Linked DNA regions of Notamacropus eugenii. The protein of the gene in region 1 purifies or fractionates together with the protein of each later gene. This does not show direct contact. Links are inferred from orthologs where the notes say so. Each region holds a gene or a part of one and is shown in the gene's direction. Other genes may lie near its edges.

Region 1 (10,861 bases):
TTTAATCTTATTGCCTTTCCTTTGAGACTACTCCCAGTTTGTACTCTATATACCTATCTGTATAATTGTTTGCATGTAGTCTCTCGTTAGACTTCAGAACACACCTCCTTGAGAGCAGACTTTTTTTTTGACTATTCCTTGAATCCTCATGCACATAGTGGAATATCTGGTAGCTAGGTTGGATATAGTGGATGGAGAAGGACCCGGAGTCAGCAAAACTTGAGTTCAAATCCCTCCTAAGACACTTATTAGCTTTGTGACACCAGAGTTTGACCCTTGGTAAGTCATTTAGCCTCTGCCTGCCTCAGTTTCCTCATCTGTAAAATGGGGATAATAATAACACCTACTTCCCAATTCATAAAGCACTTAACACAGTGCTTGGCACAAAGTAGGTGCTATTAATAAATGCTGGTCAACTGGGCGGTCATATACATACCCATACCTCAGTCATTGTATATTGTGTGCTCCAGTGTGTCCCAAGAAGGGCATGATAAGCTTCTCTAACAGTGAGCCATAAAAGAATCAAAAGAGAGGAGAGAAGTTCTAAAAGAGGGGGCCCCCAGAATATCTAAGGGGGTGTCTTAAGAGAAGGAATGTCAGACATCATGGAATATTCACAAGATTTGAAGTCAAAGGACCTGGTAAAAATTTTGGCCATTTTACTTGCTGATCATATAACCTTAGGCAAGTCACTTAATTTTTCTGGGCCTCAGTTTCTACATTTGTTTGAGGGGGTTAGACTACATACCTTTAAGATCCTTTACAGCCCTAAATCTATGATTCTCACCACCTGCTCCCTATCCCCCCAGCTCCCAAGACTCAGCTATGGGTCTCAGCTGCCATGGGTTAATATTTTCATGTACGGGTGAGGTTCCATTAATTATCTCATTCAACTTAGGGGCAGCTAGGTGGTGCAGTGGATAGAACACCAGTGCAGGAGTCAGGAGGACGTGAGTTCAAATCTCACCTCAGACATTGGATACTCACTAGCTGTGTGACCTTGGGCAAATCACTTAACTCCAATTGCCTCATCCTGGGTCATCTCCAGTCATCCTGATGAATATCTGGTCACTGGATTTAGATGGCTCTGGAGGAGAAGTGAGGCTGGTGACCTGCACAGCCCTCCCTCACTCAAAACAAAGTCAAGTGCAAGTCATGTCATTATTTCTTTGATGACATGGTCTTCTTTGGCAACGAGGGATGAACACACATTCAACTTAAGAGTAATTATCGTTGTTAGGTAAGAACATTTTTCAATTGACTCAATCAAAAGCAAGGCTTCCTCGAATCATGTCTATGAATGCTTGAAAGCCTCTCCAAATTGTTTCTGTTACACATCCTCATGTATGTGCCAGGTACCAGGTACCCACAGTAGACTCTGAGTTCCTAGAGAACAAGGATAGTTTTTGCTGTTCTTTGTATCCTTAGCACTTAGTTCAGTACCTAACACATAGAGAGGGACTTAATAAATGTTTGTTGACTTGACATAGTTCACAAATTTACCATCAATGCTCTAGGGGAGTGAAATGGAGAAAATGGGGCACATACCCTTAATGTATATCCTGTGCTTTTGCCTTAACTTGAGATTTTATCTATTTCTTGGCAACCTAGTAATTCTTCACAGATAATGTTGATGCACATTACTAAGTGGTTAATAACATTTTACACAAATTTGCTTTAATAGGATTAAATCAGATTTAATAATTCCTTCTCTGGAATATGAGCTCTCTGAGGGCAGGGACTGGTTCATTTTTGTCTTCATAACTCAAGATTAGCCTCGCATGTAGGTGCTTAATAAATGTTGGTTGGATTTTCCTTTTCTTTTTAAAGATTATTTATTTTTAACATTCATTCCTCTACCTATTGAGAATTCAAGCAATACAAGTCATACAGCATCAACCATTACATGCATGAAGTCATGAAAAACATTTCCACATTAGCCATGTTGTTAAAAAAAAAAACAAAAAAAATAAAATGAACAATGTATATTTCAATCTGCACTCAGAGTTCATCAGTTCTTTTTCTGGAGGTGGATAGTGTGTTTCATCACAGGTCCTTTGGAATTATCTTGGACCATTGTTTTGATCACAGTAGCTAAGTCTTCCACAGCTGATCATGGTTAACTGTGTACAGTGTTCTGGTTCTGCTCCCCTCACTCTGCATCAATTTATACAAGTCTTCAGAGGTTTTTCTACAAACATCCTGCTGGTCATTTCTGATAGCACAATAGCTGAATAGATTTTTCTAAAGCAGAAGTTTGACCAAGTCACCCCTGACCCTCCAAAGTGGTTCCCTATTGACTACAGGATCAAATAAGTCCAGCATTTAAAGTTCTTCACAACTAGTCCTTTTCTTATGTTCCCATCTTTCTTATACCTAATACCCTATACCTTACACAGGCAGCTGGTAGCACAATTCAAATCTGGCCTCAGATATTTACTAGCTGTGTGACTCTGGGCAAGTCACTTAACCTTTGTTTGCCTCAGCTTCCCCCAATGTAAAATGGGGATAATACCACCTACCTCAAAGGGCTGTTGGGAGATTAAATGAGATCATTTCTGTAAAGTGCTTAGCACAGGGCCTGGCACATAGCAGGTACCATAGAAATGCTTCTTCTCTCACACTCCACAGTCCAGCCAGGCTACTGTTCTTTTTATGACTTGATATCTACTGTGGCTGTGCCTTCGTACCCACTGTTCCCTATGCCTGGAATGCAGTTCCTCCTCATGTCCACCACTTGAGTCCTTTTCCTTCCATCAAGGCTTGGCTTCATCCCCAACTTCTGTAAGCCTGTCTCAGTTCTTTCAGCTGCTAATGTCTTCTCCTGTCTGATTACCTTCTGTGTGTTCTGTATATTTTTGGTTTGTATCTAGTTATTTTTATTTTGTCTTTGCCATTAGAATGCACCCTTCTTACTATGCCCAAAGGGCTATAAAAATGTGCATACCCTTTGAACCAGCAATATTGCTTCTATGGCTGTATCCCAAAGAGATCATAAATGGGAAAAGGACCCACATGTACAAAAATATTTTTAGCAGCTTTTTGTAATGGCCAAGAACTGAAAATCGGGGGGATGCCTATCAGTTGGGGAATGGCTGAACAATTTGTGGTATATGAATATAATGGAATACCATTGTGCTATAAGAAATGATGAACGGGTGAACTTCAGAAAAACCTGGGAAGATTTATATGAACTGATGCTGAGTGAAATGAGCAGAACCAGAAGAACATTATACACAGTCACCATCACAGTAGTATTCAAGGACTATTTCTGATAGACTTAGCCCTCCACAACAATTCAAGGACCTAAAACATTCCCAAAGGACTTTTGATGCAAAATGTCATCAACATCCAGAGAAAGAACTATGGAATTGGAATGCAGAATGAAGCAGACTATTTTCTCTTGTGTTTTGTTTTGGTTTGGTTTTTCTCATAGTTTTTCCCATTCGTTTTAATTTTTCTATCCAACATGACTAATACGAAAATGTGTTTAATAAGAATGTATGTGTAGAACCCATAGAAGATGGCATGATGTCTTGGAGAAGGAGGGGAAGAAAGTTTAAAGTCAAAACTTATGTGATATTGAAAACTGAAAACAAATAAATAATAATTAAAAATTAAGAATGTGCCCTCTTTGCGGGCAGGGGATTGATTGCTTTTGTCTCTTCCTTTCTTAGCCAGCATTATGTGGAGATGGCCTGACTTCTTGCAGGTTATCTGCTTTGGAATGCAGCTGCTGAAAGGCTGCAGTAGAAGGCATTCTAAGCCTTTCTAGGCCATTGACACCACCACACAATGGAGGGTATTTAATAAAGCTGTTTTCACTGTTGATGTGGAAGGAATCTTAAGTAGATTCTCTACATATTTTTTTAAGAGTGCATATACCACCATATAGATACCATGAGAAAATTTTGCAAACTGATAGATTATTAAAACAGTTGGTCTTAATTTCCCAAAACAATCCAAGTGCTACAGTAGGAGTCCAATGTATTTGTTTTCAGCTTAAAACCCATAATTTATGCATGAAGACCTTTTAACTTGGTGTCTTCTCTGCGGATTGTGGCCAAGTTAAGGTTTCCTATCCTATTCAATCTATTCAAGGAATATACCAATGGAGCACCTACTATAATATAGAGTTACTACTATATCTACAGTTCACATTTATACGAATTTGGAGTCCGACGATTTAGGTGAGACTGAGAAAAGAGACACAGGCAAGAAACAAAGTACTGGGTTGGAAAACAGCCAAGTGGGCCAGCTTGGCTGAAATGTGAATGCACGGCGGCAAGGAGCAGGAAGGCTGGAACCAAACGGTGAAGGACTTTAAATCCAGCATGGGGGCATAAAAATAATCCTTAAATAGGGAGGTGGGATCTGAACAGCAGATACATCTTCAGAAGTATTGAATGGACACATTTTGCTCAGCGTCTAGCTATAGGAAGCTTAATATTTTTGAGTTGAATTGAGTGGTATAAGGTACCTGGAATTTAACAAAGCAATTTATCTTCCTTTATCAAAAATGATAGTGAAAGAGACAATTCTGTTGGCTGAGGTTAGGGCTGCAGTGTATGGATCACAGATTGAAACAGGTAAGGAAGCTTAGAGGATGGTCTCACTTCGTCCTTTGGCTGGTCAGCTGTGTCTAACTCTTCCTGACCCTGCGGATCAGACTGTCCATGGTTTGTTGTTTTTTTACTTTTGGCAAAGATCAATGCAGCAGGTTTGTCATTTCTTTTTCCAGCCAATGAAGGTGACCAGGAATAAGTGACTTGTCCAGGGTCACATAGCTGCACTCAGGTCTTCCTGACTCCACGCCTAGCATTCTCCCTACTGAGCCATCCAGCTGCCCCATTTGACAGATGAGGACACGGAAGCTCTGACTTGTGACAGAGGACCGGTTAAACCCACCCCTGCGCCCCAAGGAAGAGCCTCAGATGTCTGGTGCATCTTCGTTAACCCGTCAGTAAGCCTTCATTCAGTGCCTGCTGCGCGCCGGGCCCAGCACCGAGTGCCAAGGAGTGTGTGTGTTACGTGGCTGGTCCTTTGCTTTCCGAGAGGGCACCGGGGAGCTGCCGGGACTTGGATCTGGGTGAGGAAGGGGTGGGCAGGGTCAGCGGCCCACCTTCTCCTCCAGGGGCCGGATGCGGGCCAGGACTGGGGAGCCTCGCGGGCAGAGGATGCCCGAAGCCACGAATGCCAGTTCCTGCCAGCTCTCTTCATACAACACAATCCCCGGAGGTCCGTGACTGAGAACATGGTGCCAAGGGGGTCCTGGGTCTACCCCCCCCCCCCGCGGCTGTTCTAGATCACAGATCTAGAGCCTGACTGTCAGTGGGAGGAAGGCCGACCTCGCCAGCCTAAGGGACCACGGGTCTGCCCAAGGCCAGCGCCAGCACCAGGACCAGAACCAGAACCCTGCGATGCTGGATCCGGCCCCATCAGGGCATTGGATGCTGGCTGACCACAATTCATCAAAAATGGGGCGAACAGGGAAAGCCAAAGAAATGGGGGGGGCACAGTCACTGAAAGACTGGAAGGGGCTCTGAATAATACCTGAAATTGACAAATAACGGAAGCCTTTGCTAACTTAGAATAAAGGAAGTCTTTAACGATAATTTAACAGGAAATAAACTTTTTCACTTAATGAAATTAAATAGCTTAATAACAAAATTTAGTAACCTAAAATTTAAAAATAACGGAAGGCTTTCGTAAAAATGTAGTTAACATTGGATCACTTAAAAATGGCGGAAGCTTTCATAATAATTCAGAATGGCTTTCCTAATCATCGTAGCGGCCAGCCGTGCCGGCGCTTTCTGACACGCGAAGCTCTTTCCGAGGGTCCTCGGGAGCCCAGGAAGGAGCCGCGGTGGGGGAGGGGAGGCCCAGCAGAAGTCACGTGGGTGGCCGCCTGGCATCCCGGGACCCGAGAGTCCATTAAGAACCAGGCCGACTCAAACGCTCACACCCCCGGCGGGAGAAGGGGAGGGGCGGGGGAAGGGAGGAGTGGGAACAGGCTCAGCTGACGCGCGCTGAGCGCCGGGATCCGGGAGGAGGCGGTGGGCGGGGCGACCTCCGGGGCGGGTGAATGAGACGCGGCAACGATCCGCACATTCCAGCGTGCCCACGTGACCAGGCCTCGCGGCCTGAGGTAAACAAGCTCTGGGCGGAGGGAGGGGGCGGGGCGCCCGCCTCCCCGGTCCCTGCTACACACTCTCTCTCCCCGGCCTCCGGGACTCACTCCAGCGGGGCGGGCGGCTTGTCCCGGGAGTCCTCTGCCTCCTGGAGCGGCGGCCGGGCGCGTAGAGGGGAAGGGAGAGGCGCAGCCGTCGCTGCTGCAGCCGCAGCCCCCGTGACCCGCGCGCCCCCGCCCCCCGCCCCGTGGCGCAGCAGGAATTGGCGGGCCCGGCCCGGGCGCTATTTGCGGCCGCTGACGAGCGGCGGGCGGCCGGCCCGGGATGGTGGTTGGGTCATTTCTATTCTAGCGGCGGTGGCTCACCCGCCTGGGCCGCGGCCCCCTGGAGCCCGGAGGGCGTGTCCCCCCGCCGGGGGCTCGCCGCGCCTATAAGGGGCCGGAGCGGCCGCGGCGCGGCCATGCAGCTCTACAGCCCGGGCTTCAGCCACTACCCCTCGGGGGGACCCGCCGCCGCCGCCCCCTCCCCGCCCTCCGCGGCCGCCGCCCCCTTCAAGGTCTCCTTGCAGGCTCCGGACGCCGCCGCCGAGGCCGCCGGCGGTGACTGCCTACCCGCCACCCCTCCGGCAGCCGAGTCCCGAGAGGCCGCCGCCGCCGCCGGGATGCCCGCCTTCTCCTCGTGCTTCGAGATGGTGCCTCCGGGCGCCGCCGCCCCTGCTGGCGCCGCGGCGGGAGGCTCGTGCAAGCCGCCGCTGCCCCCGCCGCCCCCGCCGCCGCCACCCCACTACACCAGCACGGCGCAGATGAGCGTGCGCTGCCTGGGCCCCGAGCGCCGGCCGCCCGAGCCCCCGCGCCGCTGCTCCTCGTCCGCCTGGCTGCTGGAGGAGCTGCTCAAGCCGGGCCCCGAGCCCGGCCCGCGGCCGGACGGGCCCGAGCGAAACTTCCGTCTGAGCGAGCACCAGCAGGCCCTGGCCGCCGCCAGGCCCCGCGACGGCAGCCCCCGGCGCTGGGAGGCGGCCGCGCCCGCGCCCCGGGCCCGCGCCGAGGCGGCCCCCGAGCCCCCCGGCCGCCGCGCGCCCTCGCCCGGCGCCGCCGGCCCCAAGGACGAGAAGTTGGCCCTGTACCTGGCCGAGGTGGAGCGGCAGGACAAGTACCTGCGGCAGAGGAGCAAGTACCGCTTCCACATCATCCCCGACGGCAACTGCCTGTACCGGGCCGTGAGCAAGGCGGTGTCGGGCGACCAGAGCCAGCACCGCGAGCTGCGCGAGCAGACCGTGCACTACATCGCCGACCACCTGGACCACTTCGGGCCGCTGATCGAGGGCGACGTGGGCGAGTTCATCATCGCCGCGGCGCAGGACGGCGCCTGGGCCGGCTACCCCGAGCTGCTGGCCATGGGGCAGATGCTCAACGTGAACATCCACCTCACCACGGGCGGCCGGCTGGAGAGCCCCACGGTGTCCACCATGATCCACTACCTGGGCCCCGAGGACTCGCTCCGGCCTAGCATCTGGCTCAGCTGGCTCAGCAACGGCCACTACGACGCCGTGTTCGACCACTCGTACCCCAACCCGGAGTACGACAGCTGGTGCAAGCAGACCCAGGTGCAGCGGAAGCGGGACGAGGAGCTGGCCCGCTCCATGGCCATCTCCCTGTCCAAAATGTACATCGAGCAGAACGCCTGCTCCTGAGGGGCCGCCGGAGCGCCGCCCGCCCGGGCGTTTGGATCGACACGGGCTCCGATCAGGGTTACAGCACTTTCTAAACTTACTAGAGTTACTGTAGGTGTGAGGCCTTAATCACTTTGTTGGGACAGGTTTTTTTCCAGAGCTGAAGGTTGCAGCGCACCTGAATGATGTTTTATGATAGATAGCCTTGAGTAGTCTTAATGCTATTTATAATTTGTTGTATAAAGTTAGCACCACTTTATTTGCAAGCTGATTTTCTCATAGTGTATATTTGTTTATTCCTGGTAATCTATTTTCTATAAAAATGTATTTTTGCACAATATTTTTTAAGATTGGTGTACCTCCATTTATGACGTCTCATTTTGGCAAATGGCTTTTGGGCAGAGACCCAGAGAAGTACTTTGTATAAAGCTTATTTTGTACAGAGTTTGTGTTCTTTTATGCTGTATGGGATTTGAACTTTACATTTATTCTTTCAAATGAAATTGATGTCATTGGTGTTACCAGATAATTGATCCATTCCATCTCGAGGAGAAGAGTTTCTTGATTGGAAACCGTTGGATTATTTAGGAAAAGGAAAAGCTTTAAAAAAAAATGGGGGGGAAGGAAATGAGGTAGAGGAAAAACATTTTTGTCTAAAGGGCAGAACAAGTTTGTTCTGACTGACTGAGTTCCCATGTTCATTGGTATAGTGATTCTGTACTTTGGTTACTGTGTAAAGTGGCCTCTGATTGTCTGGTGCTCTCAGTTTTATTTATTTTTCATTTGTTACAATAGGATTTTAACATAGGAGAAAATGTGGTAACAAGATAATAGTCTTCTGCTTTTGTAATAAGTGTCTGATTCAGCTTGGGGATTTTAAAATGAACAGTATAAATGCCCCTGACAGCAGTTAAATTGTGGCAGGAGAATATTATCTTTGTACTTTGTTCCTTTGAAATACTTTCAAGGGTAAAAATGGAATTGTCCGGTATTATGTAAAGCTATCTGAAAAGAGCTTGTATGGTTTGCTGGGTCAAACGTTTCCAACTTAAAAGCTATCTCGTTTCCAATTTTAACTACTTTTAGTCATATTTATTAAGTAATGCAGTTTGTACTTTTTTATTTTGTAATATTTTGTGATTTTTTTGACTTTTTACTGTATTTGTATGATAGGACTATTCTCAGCTAATGGAATGAATAAATGCATACTTTTAATATTGTCTCCTAGTAGCAAATTTTGAAGTTATTTTTTTTCTTTTGGACTGATGTGTGATTTCATTGGTATAAGAATTTTCTTTGAAGAAATGTCTTCCAATGCAATTCACAGCTGCTCTGCAATTTATAGGCTTGGTGTTAGTTGTTCAAGGGCACCGAGGTTAAGTTACTTGCCCACATCATAGGACACAGCCTTTGTATGTTGTTAGAGAAGGGACTTTTAATTCAAGTCTGCCAGATTCTGAGACTTGAGTTGTGATCCACTACTCTGGCTGGGCCTGCCTCCTCTCTAAAATGATTTCTGTGAGTGGATTCATTTCCCTTTCACAAGTCACATTTTTCTTAGATGATGTAATAATACTGAATTCTTTAATAGTAACCTGGATTGGGCAACTATTAAGTCATTAAAAAAGTTTTGGAAGGAAATAATTTACAAGTAGAGTAAGAAATTGCTTCCATTATTTACATATAAATATTTTTATCTAGCAGATTCTAGATAAGAACATTAATTCCTCTTTGGCATTCTAAAACAGTGGAGGAAGTATATAAGTTTGAGTAAATTGGTGTAATGGTTTGGTTTTTGAGTGTAGATTTTTAACTTTATAAAATTATAGTTAAAGGAATTTCTGGTTTTAATTCATTCCAGGTTTTCATAATCAATACCTTTTATTAGAAATGTTTCATTCGTGGTTGACCTACACATAAGCAAAAATAAGCTTTGCAGAAGCAACTGGTTATTAGTTTTTCCTCATATCTTCTACCCCCCAGCCACTCATCCCTTTTAAAAGGAATCAACCTAGCTGTTTTGACACAGCAATTAATATTTTTTCACTTGTTTTTGCAGTGTGTACATAGTTATAGACTGGAGTTTGAGTAAATTCCTTCATAAATCAGGAATTATGTTACTGTCAAATAAAGATTAATGTGTCATTTTGGTTGTATTAGGTCTTTGGCTTTTTGGCCCAAGAAGTAGATCAAGCATAATTGGGTAATTTGGGAGGAAAAAGGATGAGTGTAGTGTCTTTTGCAGTAAATCAAGGGGATATTGAAAGCTCCATTTGTGTCTTATTCCCCCAGATTATTTCCTGTTAAATTCTACGTAGGGTATGAGGAATCTTAGTCTAATATTGATATTCCTATTTCTACCTCATGCTAACTTGAATCTTAGCAAAGTTTATTTTTTTCTAATGTCATAGCTGACGTTTGTCGAATTTTGTATTTTTAAAGTGAAGATTAGCTCCTTTGAGACTCAGAATTCTATAAATTAATTACATGACCATTTTTCAGATGAGGGAATTAAGCCTTAGAACTGCTATGTGTCTTATTCATGCCCTGTGTTAAAGCAGGATTTAAAGCCAAGTAATGGGACTCCCCAAGGCCAAAATGTTTTGTTATAGTATACTAGCACACCAGATGGATTAGTTATCTGATTTGATTAAGTTATCTGATTTGATTAACTTACCTGATTTGAATCTTAGTCATTTACAGTCCCTGTCCTTAAAGAGCTTAAGTCCTGCCAGAAGGGTATGTGTTCCTGGGTATGTGTTCCTAGTTAAGTAACCACACAGCAATAGGATGTGGGATGGAGGGAGTAGGGAAGGGAGATGATGATCCTAAGGAAGGCATTAAGCATTTTTCCCCTTCCTTACTGCATCATTTCACCTTTGGTAGCTTCGGTAGAAACCCTGAACCTCTGAGGACTCTGAAGAATTGAGGACAGGTAGGTTCAAGTGCTAGCCTGATTACTTGCCAGTGTGACCTTGAACGATTTGGTTCATTTATAACCTCTCTGACCTTCAGTTCCTAATCTGTAAAGTGAGGGTGTTGGACTAGATGTCCTTTAACA
Region 2 (10,734 bases), on another chromosome or scaffold:
GGGGCTAAAAGAAGGAGGGGAAGGCTGCAGGAGGAGGGGGAGAAAAGTGAATACTATTGAGGAGGGGAAGGGAGACGGGAGAGTTAAAAGCACAAATGGTGGGAAAGAGGGTGGAGGGAAATACACAGATTGTAATCATAACTGTGAATGTGAATGGGATGAACTCTCCCATAAAACGGAGACGGATAGCAGAATGGATTAAAAGCCATAATCCAACAATATGCTGCTTACAAGAAACACATTTGAAACGGGGGGATACACATAGGATAAAGGTCAAAGGATGGAGCAGAATATATTGTGCTTCAGCTCATGTAAGAAAGGCAGGAGTAGCAATCCTAATCTCAGACAAAGCAAAAGCAGAAATAGATCTAATCAAAAGGGATAAGGATGGAAACTATATCCTACTAAAAGGCACCATAGACAATGAAGCAATATCATTACTAAACATGTATGCTCCAAGTGGTATAGCATCCAGATTCTTAGAGGAGAGGTTGGGGGAGTTGAAGGAAGAAATTGATAGCAAAACTATACTAGTGGGGGACCTCAACCTCCCCCTCTCTGAACTAGATAAATCCAACCTTAAAATAAACAAGAAAGAGGTTAAGGAGGTAAATAAAACTCTGGATAAGGTAGATATGATAGATCTTTGGAGAAAATTAAATGGGAATAGAAAGGAATATACCTTTTTCTCAGCGGTACATGGAACATTTACAAAAATTGACCATGTACTAGGACATAAAAATCTCACAATCCAGTGCAGAAAGGTAGAGATAATCAATGCATCCTTTTCAGATCATAATGCATTAAAAATTACATGTAATAAAAGGCCATGGAAAGAGAAACCAAAAATCAATTGGAAACTAAATAATCTAATTCTAAAGAAGGATTGGGTTAAAGAAGAAATCATAGAAACAATCAACAACTTCATTCAAGAGAATGACAACAGTGAGACAACGTACCAAAACTTATGGGACACTGCAAAAGCAGTTATTAGGGGAAGTTTTATATCTCTGAATGCTTACATAAATAAAATAGAGAAAGAGGAGATCAATGACTTAGGCTTGCAGTTGAAAAAGCTAGAAAAAGAACAAATTGAAAATCCCCAAGTAAATACCAAATTAGAAATACTGAAAACCAAAGGAGAGATTAATAAAATTGAAATAAAGAAAACTATTGAATTAATAAATAAAACCAATAGTTGGTTTTATGAAAAAACTAATAAAATTGATAAACCTTTGGTTAATCTGATCAAAAAAAAGAAAGAAGAAAACCAAATTACTAACATTAAAAATGAAAGGGGTGAACTCACCTCCAATGAGGAGGAAATTAAAACAATAATTAGAAACTACTTTGCCCAACTTTATGCCCACAAATTCGACAATCTAAACGAGATGGATGAATATTTTAAAAAATACAAATTGCCCAGATTAACAGAAGAGGAAGTTGAATACTTAAACAACCCCATCTCAGAAAAAGAAATTGAACAAGCCATCAATGAACTCCCTAGGAAAAAATCTCCAGGGCCAGATGGATTCACAAGTGAATTCTATCAAACATTTAAAGAACAGTTAATTCCAATACTACATACACTATTCTTGAAAATTGGGGAAGAAGGAGTCCTCCCAAATTCTTTCTATGATACAAATATGGTTTTGATACCCAAACCAGGAAGAGACAAAACAGAGAAAGAAAATTATAGACCAATTTCCCTAATGAATATAGATGCAAAAATTTTAAATAAGATTTTAGCAAAACGAATACAGCATCTTATCACGAGATTAATACATTATGATCAGGTAGGATTCATACCAGGACTACAGGGCTGGTTCAATATTAGGAAAACTATTAGCATTATCGATCACATCAACAACAAAGCTAACAAAAACCACATGATTATCTCAATAGATGCAGAAAAAGCTTTTGACAAAATACAACATCCATTCCTACTAAAAACATTGGAGAACGTAGGAATAAAGGGAACTTTCCATAAAATAATAAGCAGTATCTATCTAAAACCTTCAGCAAGCATTATATGCAATGGGGATAAGCTAGATGCATTCCCAATAAGATCAGGGGTGAAACAAGGTTGTCCATTATCACCACTATTATTCAATATGGTACTAGAAATGTTAGCTGTAGCAATTAGACAAGATAAAGATATTCAAGGAATTAGAATAGCCAAAGAAGAAACTAAGTTATCACTCTTTGCAGATGATATGATGATTTACCTAGAGAATCCCAGAGATTCAAGTAAAAAATTACTTGAATTAATAAACAACTTTGGCAAAGTTGCAGGGTACAAAATAAACCCACACAAATCCTCTGCATTCCTATATATTAGCAACAAAGTTCAACAGCAAGAGATAGAAAGAGAAATCCCATTTAAAGTTAGGGTAGACAGTATAAAATACTTAGGAGTCTACCTGCCAAAACAAACCCAGGGACTATATGAACACAATTACAAGACACTTTTTGCACAAATAAAGTCAGATTTAAGTAAGTGGAAAAAGATTAGTTGCTCATGGGTAGGCCGTGCTAATATAATAAAAATGACAATTCTACCCAAATTAATATACTTATTTAGTGCCATACCAATTAAACTATCAGACAATTACTTTCTAGAGCTGGATAAAATAATATCAAAATTCATTTGGAAAAACAAAAGGTCCAGAATATCAAAGGGACTAATGAAAAGAAATGCTTGGGAAGGTGGCCTAGCACTACCAGACCTTAAACTGTACTATAAAGCAGCAATTATCAAAACCACTTGGTATTGGCTAAGAAACAGAGAGGTAGACAAGTGGAATAGACTTGGCACTGAAGATGCAGTAGGCAAGGAATATAGCAACCTTCTGTTTGATAAACCCAAGGACCCCAGCTTCTGGGATAAGAACTCATTGTTTGACAAAAATTGCTGGGAAAACTGGATAACAGTGTGGCGGAAATTAGGCATAGACCCATACCTGACACCGTACACAAGAATAAAGTCCAAATGGGTACATGATTTAGGTATAAAGATTGATACCATGAATAAACTGGAGAAGCAAGGAATAGTGTATTTATCAGATCTATGGAGAAGGGAAGAATTCTTTACTAAAGGAGAGATAGAATGCATTATGAAATGCAAAATGGATAACTTTGAGTACATTAAACTGAGAAGTTTTTGCACAACCAAACCCAATGCAACCAAAATCCGGAGGGATGTAGTAAATTGGGAAAAAATTTTTACAGCTAAGCTCGGGGATAAAGGCCTCATTTCTAGAATATATAGAGAACTGACCCAAATGTATAATCATACAAGTCATTCCCCAATTGATAAATGGTCAAAGGATATGAACAGGCAATTTTCAGAGGAAGAAATTAAAGCTATCTATAATCATATGAAAAAATGCTCTAAATCACTATTGGTTAGAGAGATGCAAATCAAAACAACTCTGAGGTACCACATCACACCTATAAGATTGGCAAACATGACAGAACAAGAAAATGATAAATGCTGGAGAGGATGTGGGAGAGTTGGAACACTAATTCATTGTTGGTGGAGCTGCGAGCGCATCCAACCATTCTGGAGAGCAATTTGGAACTATGCCCAAAGGGCTACAAAAATGTGCATACCCTTTGACCCAGCAATATCGCTACTAGGACTGTATCCCCAAGAGATCATAAAAATGGGAAAGGGTCCCACATGTACAAAAATATGTATAGCAGCACTCTATGTAGTTGCCAAAAACTGGAAGTCAAGGGGATGTCCATCAATTGGGGAATGGCTGAATAAATTATGGTATATGAATGTAATGGAGTACTATTGTGCCATAAGAAATGATGAACAAGAAGACTTCAGAGAGGCCTGGAAGGACTTATATGACCTGATGCTGAGTGAAAGGAGCAGAACCAGGAGAACTTTATGCACAGCAACAACCACAGTGTGTGAGAGTTTTTTCTGGTAGACTTAGATTTTTGTAATAACACAAGAACTCCTGAAAAAAAAAAAAATCCCAATGGTGGACCTCAAGGCAAAATGCCTTCCACACTCAGAGAGAGAAATATGGAAGTCACTCACATAATGTAGCAGATCATGTTTGTGTATGTGTATCTGTCTGTGTATCATGTTCTGATTTGTTATACGGATTCTCTCATTTATCTTAGTCTGACTACATAGCATGACTATAGTGAAAATATACTCAATAGGAAAGTATATGTAGAATCTATACAGAATTGTATGCAGTCGTGGGGAGGGAGGGAGTTAGTGGGGGGTGGGTGGGGAGGGATAAAATCGCAATTGTATGGCAGTGATTGTTAAACATTAAAAAAATAAAAAAATTATAAAAAAAAAAAAAAGAAAAAAGGAATGGTATTTTAATAGGCAAATAACATTTTAGTAGGGGCAGCTAGGTGGTGCAGTGGATAGAGCACCAGTGTAGGAGTCAGGAGGATCTGAGTTCAAATCTCACCTCAGACACTTGACACTCACTAGCTATGTGACCTTGGGCAAGTCACTTAATCCCAATTGCCTCATCCTGGGTCATCTCTAGTCATCCTGATGAATATCTGGTCACTGAATTTAGATGGCTCTGAAGTGAGGAGAAGGGAGGCTGGTGACGTGCACAGCCCTCCCTCACTTAAAACAAAGTCAAGAGCAAGTCATGTCATTATTTTTCTGATGGCATGGTCTTCTTCCACAACGAAGGATGAACACACACACACAAGATTTTAGTATTTATTATGAAAATGGTTTTGATCTCAAGGACCATCTGAAAGGGTTTAGGGGACCACCAGGGGTTGGTGGACCACATTCTGAAAACCACTCATCTAGTTAATTTGCATGGGTTGGGAAAAAACCCCAACATTTCTCAAATCCATATCATGTAAAAATAAGCAGTGTCTACTCTCCAATAACACAGAGGTATACCAATCATCTGTGATCCCTTGGGTCTCACAGTGTCAAGGTGATTATTCTCAGTAAAAAAGTACATGTCACAAATATATAGAAGTCAGTGCAGAATACTTTGTATAGCAGTCTCTAGGGTTAGGGTACATTGCCTATGAACTAACCCCATGGATACAACCTGTCTGGTAGGATAAACCTTCACAGATAAAGTCTGTGACTATGGAGCAGAGGAAAGAAAGCTACCTGACCAAAAGATAGAATCCATAATTTTGTTGAAAGATATTCTAGCATTATCCATTCAAGAAACTAAGCACATACCTACTATGTACGAGGGACCAGAAGGCATTGTAGCGTGATTTACTTTGATACTGGCTCTATAGTCAGAGAACCTACTTCAAATTCAGTCTTTAATGTTTTAGTACCTATGTCACCTTGGCCATCATCCGTGGGCCTGTGTCCTACTCTATAAAATATAAGAGTTGGACTAGAATCTAGTACTTGGGTACAACCGTTTGAGTGAGTCCAAGTTTTACAAAACAAAGCCTTTTACTAAGGGGATTTGTTCTGTGAAGTTTGGATTCAGCCAAAGGGCTGCAGTTGAAGACCTGGAAGGCCAGCTGTGGCCTTGAGGCCACAGATTCCCCACCCCTGGACTAGATGGTGTCTAAGGATCTTTCCAACTTTAGACTGAAGTAAAGAATACAAAGATAAAATGCATGGTCCATGTCCTTAGGATGTTAAAAATCTAATTGTGGAGACATGAAGTCCATTCCTAAAATGTTTAAATAGTGAAACTTACTTGTAATATTTGTAATTTTCTTTATTTTCTGTGGAGCTCCAAAGACCAGTTTCCCAATTTTGCTTATATTTCAAGTGCCTGAAATATTAATTTCCGCTCAGTCCCTCTCATTCTACAGTTCTGAAAATACAGCCAAGGGAAGTCAACTTATCGATGTGCTGGTGCTCTCAACTCCATTGGCGGCCCCAATGCCAGGAGAGGGTGGGAGCATAGGATCATAGAGTCAGGGACCTTGAAGTAATCATAGCGGCCAACCTCATTTGACCTAGAGGGAAACTGAGGTTCAGAGAAGGCAAGGGACTTGCACAAGGTAGTAATAGAGCCAGTAACAGGCACAGCAGGATGACACCTTCATTAAAGGAAAACCCTAAGTTCTGGAAGAGGGAAAAGGCCGGAGGGCCAGAGGTCCAACATGCCAAGGTCACCAAAGGCCTCGGGAGCCCAGGAGGGCTCTGACCTGTGAAGAAGCCAGTCAGAGTTGTTACCATAGAGCCTGGGTGTCCACTGGCGGAACCAGGCGGGCCCCCGGATCTGTCAAGTCCCGCCACCGCCGCTGCAACTGAACCGGGCAACTGAACTGGAGTGAACAGCCGTACTAAGAAGGAGGAACTGGTAGTCCCAAACTAAAGAAATAGGTACCGAACTATGCCCTGAGAACGCCACCCTAGAACATTACCGCCCCGGGCCAGAGTACTGAAACGTGCACATGCGCGAGGTGGCTCCGCTTCCTCAGCCAATGGTTGCACAGCACTAGGAACAACGCAGCTCTCATTCCCTTTCACTATCCAGTGGCCAATTGGAGGGCAGCGTCTGCGCAGGCGGTTCCATCGGTCCAATGAGAATGCGTCTCTAGGGAGACCCCGCCTGCGAGGTGGGCTGGGATGGAATAGAGTGGCACTTGGAGGCGGACTGTGGTTAACGGGTCAGTAGCTGGGTGAGAAAGCCGAAAAGGGGAGGCGGCGGGTCGGCCGCAGTCGCAGTTGGTCCGGGACTTCCCGTCGTCGTTGTCGTTGTCGTAGTCATGTTACGATGTGGAAGCACCGCCGTGGCTGGGTTGGCGCCTTTGGTACGGACTTTCAGCGTCCGTGGCCCGAAGCAGAGGAGCCGGCTTCCAGGTAAGTTAGTTCCCTGACGCTCCCGTTGCAGTTCTCTACCCCTCCTCTCCCCCCACCCGTCGGACCCTGACCGTGATCCCAGGGAACCCCCTGCACGGCCCGCGTCTCTCCCCCCCTTCCCCCCCCCCCCCCCCCCGCAGGCAAACCCCTTCCGCACGCTCACTCGCGCCTTTTTTGGGAGCGCTCCAAACTCTTGAGGCAGGACTCGCCGGCCTGACCTTCAGAGGCATCACCTTCCACCCCCATCCCCCTAGCTGACAGGCTGCTGGCTAGAATCCCTGCAGCCCAGCCCCTGCAGTCCGGGGTGGCCTTCTGGCTAACACCCCCTCCCAACCCTATGCCTTTCCTTCCCGGGGCTCCAAGCGGGCTTCTGGGGACCCACGTGTGCTAAGTACTACTTAAACCAGCTAGGCCCCGGGGGGAGACTGGAAGATGAATCAGAAAAAAGTTCTAGCTCTAGCCCTTGGAGAGTCTGTCAAGTAGGGGAGATCAGTAAGACTCGACCCCAGAGAATGGATAATAGAGGGCAGAAAGCAGGAAGCTCCAGGACAAAAAAAAAGTGGCGCAAAAAAAGTACTGAGACTTTAAAAGAGAGAGGAATGTTTTCTGATCGGGTGGGAGCTGAGAATACTAAATGGAAGGAGGTGGCATTTTACCTGATTCCCGAAGAGAAGGAATAAAATTTCAACTAGGTAACAGGAAGGGAATTTCAGAAATATTGGACTGTGAAAGTTTGGAAGTCTAATGGAAAAAACCCTGGAACTCTGCCATTTATTATAGATGTGACTTAAGCCATTTAATAATAGTCTTTTCCTCAGTTTCTTCATCTGTAACAGACATATCATCTACTTTACCTATCTTAAAGTCGAGAACATAGATGTGAAAACACTTTCACAATTCAAAAGTCCTGTCTGTGTCAAGTATCATTGAAACAACTGTAAATATAAATCATGAAATAAATACCACAAGAGCTGGGAGGGCAGGCCAAAAGTGAATTGAAAAATAGGGTCTGGTGTGACTTTGTGGTTATCTTTAATGCCAATTTTAGAGTTGTTTTTTAACCAATGCATAAGGTGCCTTCTCAGTATTAGAAAGTAAATAATGTGGTTCAATGGTCTGTTCAGCCTAATATTCTTCTCTGATGCTGGGAAAGTAGGATATTTGCCCTTCATGAAGTTGACCTCAAAAAGTTAACAGTGGTGTCCTATCAGAAGCAGTAGCCTGAGATTTTAAAGACCTAGGTTCTACTCCTGGTTCTGCTACTGATACTAGCTGTGTAACCTTAGGTAAATCATTCTGGGCCTCAGTTTAATCTTTTGGAAAATAAAAGATTTATATTAAATCTATTAAAAGTCCCTTCCAACTCAGAATGCTATAATCAAACACCCCTAAATTCCTGCCTTACTAGTCCATCATGCATATGCCATCCATGAATTTATCAGAACATTTCATGAATTTTACTTACACACACACATACACCCCATGACCTCTTGTGTACCCTGTGACCTCTTCTGGTAGTAAGTTACCAGTTTTTAGGAGATACAATTAATCTTTCTTTTAGAGGTCTTCTTCAGTTCTTGCTAATATCAATAGTGACATGAAAATGTTTGCCTAAGTTTTTGCACCATTTTCCTGGAGCCATTGACTCAAGAGTGCTTCTTGAATGAAGTTTTAGTATCTTGAGTGATCTTACACTTCGAATCTTAACACCTCTGTTGTCAGGAACTTTAAAAACATTGTTTTTTAGGGCAGTTAGGTGGTACAGTGGATAGAACACTAGCTTGGAGTCAGGAGGACAGGAGTTCAAATTTGGTCTCTGACACTCATGTTTATTAACTGTGTGACTGTGACCGAGGGCAAGTCACTTAACCCTGACTTCAGGTGCGGCAATAAAAAAGGATTGTTTTTTGACAGATATCCTGGTTTCCAGACATCTCTGTTGTCTGCACGCCAAAATTATGGTACTATCCATAGGCAAGTTACACAACATTCTTAGACGGAATGTATAACCTTTTTGCCCTTTCGTAACTTTGACCTCCAACTTAAAACATCATTGCTTTGGTCTGTGGAATTGAACATTTCATGGGAAAATGCCTTCTTAATACATACTTATTGCTTATGCTATTATCTTCACTTACTTAGATTTGAAAGCATTTAGTGATGTTAGTGCTGAAAGGAATTGGCTAGTTTTATTTTGCCTTCATTAGTAACTTGTTCAGAGATGGGCTGCTGTATTACTACTTCTGGTTTCTTGACTATTTGCTCCTTCTTCGTAGATTTATATAATTCATAGAATCTCAGAGGTGGAATTGATCTCCAACACCATATAATTTAACTCATACCTAAGAAGACTCCCCTCTAAAACATACCCCATAAATGGCCATCCAACCTTTAAGCCCTCTAGTGAAAGAGAACTTTCCAAGGCAGTTCATCTCACATTTGGACATACCTCTGATAGGAAACTTTTCTTTACATCAAAAAGGAGTCTGCCTCTTTGTAAATAAGTCTGACCCAGCTTTTCACATGGCAGCCTCTCTAATAAATACTTGAAGACAATTCTTCTCCCACCCCAGTCATCTTTTCTCCAAGCTAAACAGCTCCTTCAACTGATCCTTACTTAATAGCATAATCCTCAAGTAGCATGGCCTTTCTTGGTTACCTTCCTCTGCATGAGCTTGAGCTTCTCTGTGACCTTCCTGAAGTGTGGAGCTCCAAACTGAACACAATACTCCAAATCTCCTCCCTCCCTCTGTACACTCTTCTCTGCATTTGGCCTAAGATAGATCTCATTTGTTTTGGGAGTTACTTCACTCTATGGATTCATATTGATTGACCTTGCTGGTGTGCTGAAGCCCCCAGAATCTTTTGTCTACTGTCTTGTATTTTGCGCTTGATTTTTAAAAAACAAATGTAGCGTTAATTTATCCCCATTAGATTTCACTCATCCTTACAGCCTATTAAAATCTTTTTGGATCCTGACTTTTTTTTAAAGATTTCTCCCAAGTTTTTTTTTTAATCATTTGCAAATTGGATGAGCCTGTTCTCTTTCCAAAATTTCATAAAACAAACCATTGATGTAAAAGTTCTTTGGTCTCCAAAAGACACTATAGTAGACCATTATTACAAACACTCTTGTCCCCAAGTAAACTCTTTCACCGTAATGTTTTTCTTAATTTCTATTATTACCAATAATTCACATTTTGGTGTTGCTTTAATATTTACAGAGAGCTTTTCTCAGAGGAACCCTGTGAGGTTAGTATAAATGTTCCCATTTTACAGAGGAGGAAACCAAGCCTTTTTCTACTGATAAGACACTAGAGTATGTAAACACTGAATCTCATTGTTGGGAAGGGACTTTAAAAGGCAGTCTCTTCCAAGGTCTACATGAATAGGAATTCCTTCTACAGAGTTTCTAGTAGATCTTATAGCTTCCACTTGGAGACTTCCAGCGAGAGAGAATGCCTGACTTTGCAAGATAGCCAGTTCCACTTTTGGACAGCTTGAAATGTTGGGAAAGTTTTCTCTACATCAAGGAGATTTTGCCTCTCTCCAACATTGTTCCTAATTTTGTCTCTAGGGCCAAACAAAAAAAATCTTAGCCTTCATTCAAATGAAACACTTGAAGGCAGCAGTCCTGTTCCTTATCCTGCTCAGGTAGTAAATTTTACTGCATATTTTTGGTGAGAGACTTGCTTTTTCCATAGAGTAGTCTTTTTCCTTGATCAACATTGGGCTAAGATTCAAAACACAGACTGTCCTTTCGCCTTGCTTTTAGACCTTGGGTGAACCTGGCCTCTGTTGTTACTTGAAATGATTATAATCATAACTGATATTTTAATAGTGCTCTTTACCATTTTTCTCATGGTTTCTCCCATTCATTTTAATTCTTCCATGCAACATGACTAATGTGAAAATGTGTTTAATAAGAATGT

The links.
Region 2: the proteins of OTUD1 (region 1) and AIFM1 purify together in Homo sapiens (affinity purification with mass spectrometry; 3 studies listed by BioGRID, with this or other methods). This does not show direct contact. The link is inferred for Notamacropus eugenii from reciprocal best matches to the Homo sapiens genes OTUD1 and AIFM1.

The regions. Positions count from the first base shown.
Region 1 is NC_092874.1:64,222,548-64,233,408, forward strand, and holds OTUD1 (OTU domain-containing protein 1), read left to right. Parts: upstream 1-5,608; 5' UTR 5,609-6,591; coding exon 6,592-7,821; 3' UTR 7,822-9,022; downstream 9,023-10,861. UniProt on the Homo sapiens protein: Deubiquitinating enzyme that specifically hydrolyzes 'Lys-63'-linked polyubiquitin to monoubiquitin.
Region 2 is NC_092879.1:51,897,454-51,908,187, reverse strand, and holds the start of AIFM1 (apoptosis-inducing factor 1, mitochondrial), read left to right. Parts: upstream 1-6,495; 5' UTR 6,496-6,708; coding exon 6,709-6,802; intron 6,803-10,734. UniProt on the Homo sapiens protein: Functions both as NADH oxidoreductase and as regulator of apoptosis.